Callithrix jacchus: one gene and its partner. The protein of the gene in region 2 binds, or shares a complex with, the protein of the main gene of each other region. Links are inferred from orthologs where the notes say so. Each region holds a gene or a part of one and is shown on either strand. Other genes may lie near its edges.

What was found.
Region 1: PPFIA1 (region 2) and PPFIBP1 share a complex: the UniProt entries of both Homo sapiens proteins name them as parts of the cortical microtubule stabilization complex. The link is inferred for Callithrix jacchus from reciprocal best matches to the Homo sapiens genes PPFIA1 and PPFIBP1.

What each region holds. Positions count from the first base shown.
Region 1 is NC_133510.1:43,539,352-43,543,160, forward strand, and holds part of PPFIBP1 (liprin-beta-1), read right to left. Parts: intron 3,778-3,809; coding exon 3,652-3,777; intron 3,044-3,651; coding exon 2,855-3,043; intron 415-2,854; coding exon 235-414; intron 1-234. UniProt on the Homo sapiens protein: May regulate the disassembly of focal adhesions. Did not bind receptor-like tyrosine phosphatases type 2A.
Region 2 is NC_133511.1:127,207,729-127,212,277, reverse strand, and holds the start of PPFIA1 (liprin-alpha-1), read right to left. Parts: upstream 2,893-4,549; 5' UTR 2,660-2,892; intron 2,435-2,659; exon of another isoform or gene 2,270-2,434; intron 1,965-2,269; exon of another isoform or gene 1,751-1,964; intron 1,433-1,750; coding exon 1,169-1,432; intron 1-1,168. UniProt on the Homo sapiens protein: May regulate the disassembly of focal adhesions. May localize receptor-like tyrosine phosphatases type 2A at specific sites on the plasma membrane, possibly regulating their interaction with the extracellular environment and their association with substrates.

The DNA of each region.
Region 1 (3,809 bases), on a different chromosome or scaffold from region 2:
CAAAATGAGAATAACAACACTCTCCATGTCTTAAGGTTACCATAAACATACGTTAAGTGCTTAGGATGGTACCTGGAACATATAAGCCATCTCTAAGTGTTCACTATTTTTTATTAATATCTGTATTTTTAGTTACTTGAAAAAAATATCCTCCATCAGACACAGCATACAAAGTTCCCGTCTAGTGTCTGAATGCTGGAAACATTTGAAAAAGGTATACTGTGTTGGACTAACCTGCTCTAACCGGTCCAAATCATCTTCGTCATACAGGCGCATATCCAAACCAGCTTTAAATCCTTTCTTAGAAGCACTTCCTGATGGCTGTCCCAATTCCATCGGACAAACATATTCTTCACCATCTTCCTGTTTCTTCTTTCTCAAATTCCCAAAATTGCTAAAGGCAAGTTTCTTTGGCTTTGAAAGAAAAGCAAACAAAAACATCCAAAGGATCTGATAAAATTCCAAAGGACTGATAACATGTAATTTTTTTTGCATCATCCCTCTTCCCTACATGTCTAATTTAATTTTTTACCCCATGTAGAAAGAAAAGTAACTGGATGTTTAAATTTGTATAAAAAAGAAAGGGCATCCTAGGCATACAAATGATGCAATGATAAATGACCCTTGTTATGAATCTCAGAAAATTAATCTTATTCTTCTTCATGTCAACTGGCTGGATAGTCACTGTCTGGACTGGCTTCAAACTCCTGGTCTCAAGAGATCCTCCTGCCTCAGCCTCTGGAGTAGCTGGTACTACACGCACATGCCACTGCACCTGGCTTCATAGTTTTGATTAGACATGCCTTAATGCAACGGATTTCTCAGGGCTAAGTCCAATTTTGCAAGGTTTTTCAATCTAAGATTAGCAAAATAAAATGGACCTTACTCTATTTTTTCTTGGGCTGAGGCTATGGTTATCTTGTGTGCCTATTCTGCTTCCATAATAGAACTGGTAATTGCTAAAATAATTTTTTGGAGAGAAAACTTCAGCAACACTTAGAAGAGAAACTCCACCTTGGTCATTGGATGACTCAGGCAGATAGGAAAAAAAAAAAAGTAAAAAAAAAAAATTAAAAAGAACTTGGCACAAATTTCTGGAGGACCTGATAACCCATCAAGTTGGTTGAGATAACATATTTAGAAGAGTTAATCTAGGATACATTTAAAAGAAGAAAAAGTAATCTGAATTTGGTATAATCCATAAATCCAGGTAAATTAGGAAATATCCATTCTTTTCTGGTTCACTTTGAATCATTTCTTAAGTATCTTTTCCTGTTTACAAGGCTGGTAAATCATAAGCCAGACAAGCTGAATCTGTACAAGAGAAATCTCTCTTCTATATTTGACTTATAAAAACAGAGCAACTGCAATCAATGGTTACAGGCTCTCTGCACTACCAATGCATGGATTTTGGAAGCTCAACATCATGCTCCTCATTATGATTTTTTGAGAGACAGGATCTGGCTCTGTTGCCCAGGCTAGAGTGAAGTGGCATGCTCACAGCTCAATCATAGCTCATTGCAGCCTCAAACTCCTGGGCTCAAGTGATCCTCCTGCCTTGGTCTCCAAAAGCACTGGAATTACAGGTGTAAGCCACCATGCCCACCTAAGAAGGAGCACTCAAAAAGGGACATGAACCCTGGATCTTCAGATTAAAAGTCTGACGCTTTACTGACTGAGCTATCTGGGTGCATTACCTTAATTATTACACTTTTAAAAGATATATACTTAGTTATCCCTCAGTAAATACAGAGCATTAGTTCCAAGACCCTCATGTATACCAACATCCGTACATGGTTCAGCAGTACCTGTGTACCTAAAAAGTCGGGCCTCTCTATATGTGGGTTTTGCATCCCTCCACATTTGCTTGGAAAAAAAAAAAAATCCAAGTAGGAGTGGACCTGTGCAATTCAAACTCATGTTCTTCAAGGGTCAACTGTTCCTTCAACTTGTCAGAATAGGCAGATAGCTAGACATGAGGGGAAGCCCCTGAGAAAAGAGAGGTCTGGAAAATCTCATACCCCAGAAACCACCCAAAACATGCATGCTAGATATGAGCAGAGAGGAGGAGAAACACCTATGCAGAAAGAAATGCCCCTTAAGATGCCCAGTAATCTCTCACTCTGCAGTTTACCTGCCAGAATGTAGCTAGCTGCATGCTGATAAAGAGGAGAAGAAGGCAAAGGAGAAATTCCTAAGAGAAATGCAGGTACAACACATATAGATTTCACTGCTACACAACCATTTTAGGGCGGCGGGAATGAGCAATGCAGCTTTTAGGTAGAACTGTAGCCAATACCCAACCCACGCATGCGTACCAACTATAGTAAGGGAGGGTCCTACAAACCTGGGATGGGAACTAGGCAGGGAAAAGGTGAGGACTTAAGGCAGGAGCGGGAAAATGAGATGAAAAAGACAGAGACTTAACACAGAGGCGAGAGCTTCAAGAAAAAAATTGGACATCATAAAAACCCAACACATAACTCTTGGGTTCATTCTCTTTCAGCAGCCCACTGTGCCATGGTTTCCGGAGTACACTGTCCCTTTAAATAAACATTGTTACTGTGACCCTGCTGTTTTCCCTGCAGGAACAGCTCGTGTACTTTTTTTTTTTTTTTCCTACAATAAGCTCTTTGCTCCCTATTTCCCTTCAATAAAGCTCTCTGCTATCTGTGAACTGTCTCCCAGCCAACATCTTGCTCCTGAGACAACTAAGCACTGAGGATTCCTGCATTTGCTGGAAAGCAACCCATCCACAAAACTTAGTATATCCCAGAAAACAGAATAACCAGGTAATTGATACAATGTGGCCTTTGCGCCAAGCAATTATTAAACCGTATGAGCCTGCACCAACCTTCACTTTGGCAGTAGCTGTTAGAAGGACATAATCTGGCAGCTCCATGGCATCTCGCTTCTGGTGCTGGGCCTCAGCCCCGATCAGAAGGTTGAAATGAGTGGCCAAATGTCTTCGCAGCAAAGTCTTATTTGGTGGGATGTTCAATAACTGAGCCATTGTTTCTACATTAAAACGAGGTTCTAGAACCTGTTAAAAAAAATTAAGCTCGTCAAAAGTCACCATAAATCATACATGTTTGTATGGTGCTTTATAATTTGCAAAGCTCTTTCACTTAGGTGATCTCCAGTGATCCTCTCAACAGCCTGGTGAGGTAAACAGGGTATGGACTTCGATCTTTAATTTATATATCTTTTCTCCATTTTGCCCAAGTTAGTGAGTGATAGAGCTGGTACTCAAATCCAGGCTTCAGGCATCCCAATATCAGTGCTCTCTACCTCTCTGGGGTGCAGTCCGTGGGAGCCAACTCCTTATGCAACATCAATGTGCAGAAATACAATCTGCATCCTTGCAGGGGTTTTCAAACATGAGCATATGAGAGACAGCAGCTACATGTTATTCAACATGAAGGGGATGATAAAAGAGAACTGGCTTTAAATCCAATCTAGATTTACATGATATCAATACAAATACTCTGAAAGGAAAGATTTACTAGAAATAGTGTAGGAGGGTTGGGTCAGATGACTTTAGGATTATGATAATAATAATAGGATATGATAATAACAAACTGATAATATCCTACTCACTAGACTGATGGAAACAAAATAAGTCAATTTGAAGTTAAATCAGAGCCTTACCATGAGCCCGCCATGGACGCCACTGCCTCTGAGGTTGGGGGCATATTCTGCCAAGTCCACAGAGCGCAGCCACTCCATCACTCGATGGTTTGTCCACTTCTGAACTTCTGATGGGGTGATGCTATTCTATAGGAACACACAACCAGGATCCTAAATAC
Region 2 (4,549 bases):
GAAGTACGTCAAGGCTAGTTTACTCATTTGTGAATGTATCACTGCAGACCATCATGCGAGTATAAGCCTATGATTACGCAGGTCTACCTGAAGGCACCGCGAAGGCACCTGTGGTAAGTGACATGGCACCTAGAGGGCTCTGAACCACCTAAGTAACCCACTTCTCTCCTACTGTGCTCCGCGCCACTCACCTCACACTTTTCTAGTTTTTACCCCTCCTCCGTTTACCTACCACTAATTCATCCTCATTCAACTCCATGAGCAAAGTCTTTCAAACACTGGTCCAAATGTTATATACTCAGAGAAACAATTTCAGTTGTTCTAAGCTTTAAAAACCTTTTTTTTTTTTTTTTTTTTTTGAGACAGTGAAACAGTGTCTAGCTCTGTCACCCAGGTTGGAAAGCAGTGGTGCAATCTTGGCTCACTGCAACCTCCTCCTCCCGGGTTCAAGTAATTCTCATGCCTCAGCTCGAGAATAGCTGGGACTACAGGTGTGTGCCATCATGCTCCACTAATTTTTGTGTTTTTGGTTTTGCCATGCTGGCCAGGCTGGTCTCGAACTCCTGATTTCAGGTGATCCACCTGCTTCGGTCTCCCAGAGTGCTGGGATTACAGACATGAGCCACCACATTCGGCCTAAGCTTTAAAATTCTCATCTGCCAAGGAAAAAGTTTCTAAGGGAATCAATTTCCAGTCTTCTATCCCCTAAAACAAATGTGACTTACAAAAACCTAGGTGTTCTGAAAAAGGTGGGCTATCAAAATATTTTTTTCTGTGAAATCAATCCTATTTGTCCATGAAATTTCATTAGGAAATTGGAAATACATGAGAGACACAATCCGTGGGAAGAACAAGTCTAGGAAGAAAAGGCTAAGACAACAGAACAGAGGCACCGTATAGATTGCGGCTTCAGAGCCGTTTTTCAACAACTCTGGAGAACGAACTTCCTGAACCCAGGCAGTTCCCAAAGACAGGAATGAAAATAATGAGGTCTTTTCACAGGACTTTAGAGTACAACAGTTTGTTCTCCCTAAGAGGTTTAATCCCTAGGAACTTTGTATTTGACTTACAAACACCAGAAACCATCATTTCACAAATGGTTACGGAAAATGCTCATCTGAAACATTAACAAAGCATCTATAGAGTTCCAGGTTAAAAGCACTCATACCTGCGGAAGTGCCGTGTTGAGCTGTCTCTGCAAGGAATCTCTTTCATGACCAACCTCGTGTAACTTCCCCTGGGTTAATGCCAGCGTTTCTTGAGTCTCTCTCAGTGTGTCAAGAAGACGGTCCCTTTCTTCTAGCATGGAGACCATCAACTGTTCGAAATGTGAATCTGTGTCCGGCTGTGAAGGGGAGCCAGACCCATGGCTTCCGCTTCCTCCAGGGGGACCTTCTGCTTCGCTGATGGTCGGCATCACCTCGCACATCATCTGGAAATCAAGGCCCCAAGCTACGGTCACTAAGTGCGAATACAGGTTCCCACAGTATCTGTAGCTAAAAAGATGGGCAGCCGCATTATTCTCAGAACTGGTATGCTTTGTATGTAAAGAAGCTGAGAACATACACACACGGGGCAAATATTAAGTGCAGAAATACACGACATGAAGACATCAACACGGACAAAAACCCAGGGAGGGAGTCAGGATCCCAGAGGACTGCCCTAACAGCAACAACAAAAAAGGCAAACCCTGGGGTGGTCTTTTAGCAAAGCTGTACGTTTTCGTGGAAAACAAGTGTGCTTCTGTTACCTGTTTTTTCTACTTCCCAGTGGGGGGAGAGAAAGTCAAAACACATGTCACCCAATCATTTTTCAGGAAAAGCACAGAAGGAGCACACAGCCAACAAAACTGACAAGTACAAAATCCATCAGGCATCTTGCAGGAATGTGTGCGGTCAGCTCCCGGGAAGAACGGCCGGCTCCCTGAATTCTTGGGCTGGATTCGGTGAGCACTAAAAAGAACTGAATTCGTTACACGCTGGTAGAAGTGTTTTTCAACGGCTGCAACGGTTGGTCAGTCAACCTAACTTACGTAAGTTTACAACCGGAAAAAAAAAAAAAAAAAAAATTCCACAATGGAAATATAGCAGGTCGATACAGCCCGGGGCGGCTAGGAAAGAAGGAAAAGTGAAAGGTGAGATTATGAGAGACTATTAAGTGTCTGGAATCTAAAGACGGCGGGAGGGGAACGGGAAGTCGCTTCTGAGCCTTAAGGCAAGTATTCGGGGTGCGGTGGACCCCCGAGAGGAGGATGCCCAAGACCGCGCACCTGATGCGGATGGTTACCTCCAGCCTGCTCGCGCCCGCACTCCTTCCCCTCCTGTAGCAGATGCGGCGGGAGCCCAGGACCCCGGGGGTGAGGACCGTTGACAGCAGAGCCCGCCCGGGCCGGGGCTTTCAGCGGCCGCAGGTCCCCGCCCCTCGCCCCAGCGCCAGGGTCACGGGGCGCGGGGCTCGGGCAGGGGCGTCACGCAGCCCCCGGAGCCGTCCCTCGGGGCGCGGGGGTCCCGCCGGAGCTCCCCTACCGCCTCGCCCCCGCCCGCCCCGGAGCGCACCCTTCCCCGCCAAGACATCCAATCGGCTGCGCGGCCGCCGCGGGGATCGGGACCCGCCGGGAACGCCTGGGCCCCGGGTCTGCCTCAGTGTCCCGCTCCCTTACCTTGCTCGCCGGCGGGAGCGGACGAGGAGGCTCTGCGGCGGCTCGCGGGCGGCTGCTCGCTCCAGGCGAGCTTGAGAACAGACGAAGGCAGCCCGCGGCCGGCGTCAGCCTGCCCGCCCCACGCCGCGGCCCCGGGGCCCGCCGCCCCAGTCACTAAGGCCGGCCCGCGGCCGGACACTGGCGGAGCGGAGGAGGAGCGGGCCCGGCTGCGCGGCGCCGGCGTCAACGTGCCCGACGTCGGGCGCGTCGGCGCGAGCGTCAGCACTGCCCCGGGGGCGGGGCCCGAGGAGCTCTGCGGCCCGAGTGCGCAAGTGCCGTCTCCTCAGGAGGGGGCGGCCGGCGGCTTCAGGGCGCTGATTGGCTGAACGTGACGGAGCCCCGCCCTTCCATTCCACGCCCAGGTTGGGGGCGGCGTCCCCGGGATGAGCCACAGGTGGGAGCTCAGGTGCTCGCGGGGTCCCCAGTCTCCTCCCACAGCTGCAGGTACAGCGGAGGCCTCTGCCGAGCGTCAGTCCGCCGCGCCTCGGGTTCTGAGCCGGACCAGTCCGGCACGTCAGGTCCCTCCCGAGCTGGAGGCTCTGGATTCCCATCTTGCGGCAGAGCGAGCCAAGGCTTCAGCCACCGCCTGGGGCCCCGACTGCGCCCTCCGCGTCGCTCCCAGAGTCTCCCCGGGCCTGATCTGGGTTCAGAAGGACGCGCTTCCCTCCAGGACCCACTTACTGAGCGCTGCCTGCCGCACCTGGGGACGCCCCGGCGCAGCGTCCAGCGGGCAGACTTTGCCGCTGTGGTTTCACACTGCAGCGAGGGCCCGGTGGGTCCGGGCGACTCGGGAAACACGCCTGGGCTTCAGCGCCTCCGATGTGGGATGGGAAAATGATGGAGACCTACCTGCCAGGCTGCTTTAAGATGTCAATCAGATGTAAAGAGCGACTGGTTGAGAAGCTGACGGGCAGCACTGCACGAGGCTTGGTCATTTGATCTTTTCCGCAAGCATTTTTAAACACCTACCATGGGCCAGGTCCTGTGCTGGATGTTGCAGACACGGAGATGAATAGAGACGCCGCTAATAAATTTAGTAAATTAAAGCGGATGCTCTCCCGATCTTCCCAGAATTTGACTCGAGCGCTGGTCTTCACAAACCAACATGTCAGGAGACCATCGCCGGTCTCCACTGACCACTGCTGTTGGTGTGAGGCAGCCAAGAGCCCCTCAGAACGAATCAAGTCTGAGAACAGGCTGCATAGGGGCTAGGAGAGGGAAACGTGAGCCCGTCCAAGGTGAATTCCCTGATTCCACCTTGTGAACGCACGGAGAACAAGCACTACCTCCGACTAACTTTCTCACCTACCAGGGTCTGGTACACCTGCCATTAATTTATTCATTCATTCGATAAATATTTATTGACTGACTACATGTAAACATGAATTTGTGCTTTTTGCCCCTAGTTTCTTGCTATTTTAAACACGTTAATGGCCAGGTGAGGCCAGGTGCAGTGGCTCACGCCTGTAATCCCAGCACTTTGGGAGGCCTAGGCTGGTGGATCACAAGGTCAACATGGTGAAGCACCAACCCTACAAAAACCAGCCTGGCCAACATGGTGAAGCCCCATCCCTACGAAAAATACAAAAAAATTAGCCAGGTGTGGTGGTGGGCATCTGTAATCCCAGCTACTCAGGAGGGTGAGGTGGAAGAATCACTCGAACCTGGGAGGCTGAGGTTGCAGTGAGCCAAGATCTTTCCCTGGAACTCCAGCCTGAGGCAAGGTGCAGTGGCTCACGTCTGGTAATCCCAGCACTTTGGGAGGCCAACTTGGAGGATTGCTTGAGCCTGGGCAATACAGGGAAGCCTGTGTCTATACAAAAAAATTAAAACTTGGCCGGGCGCGGTGGC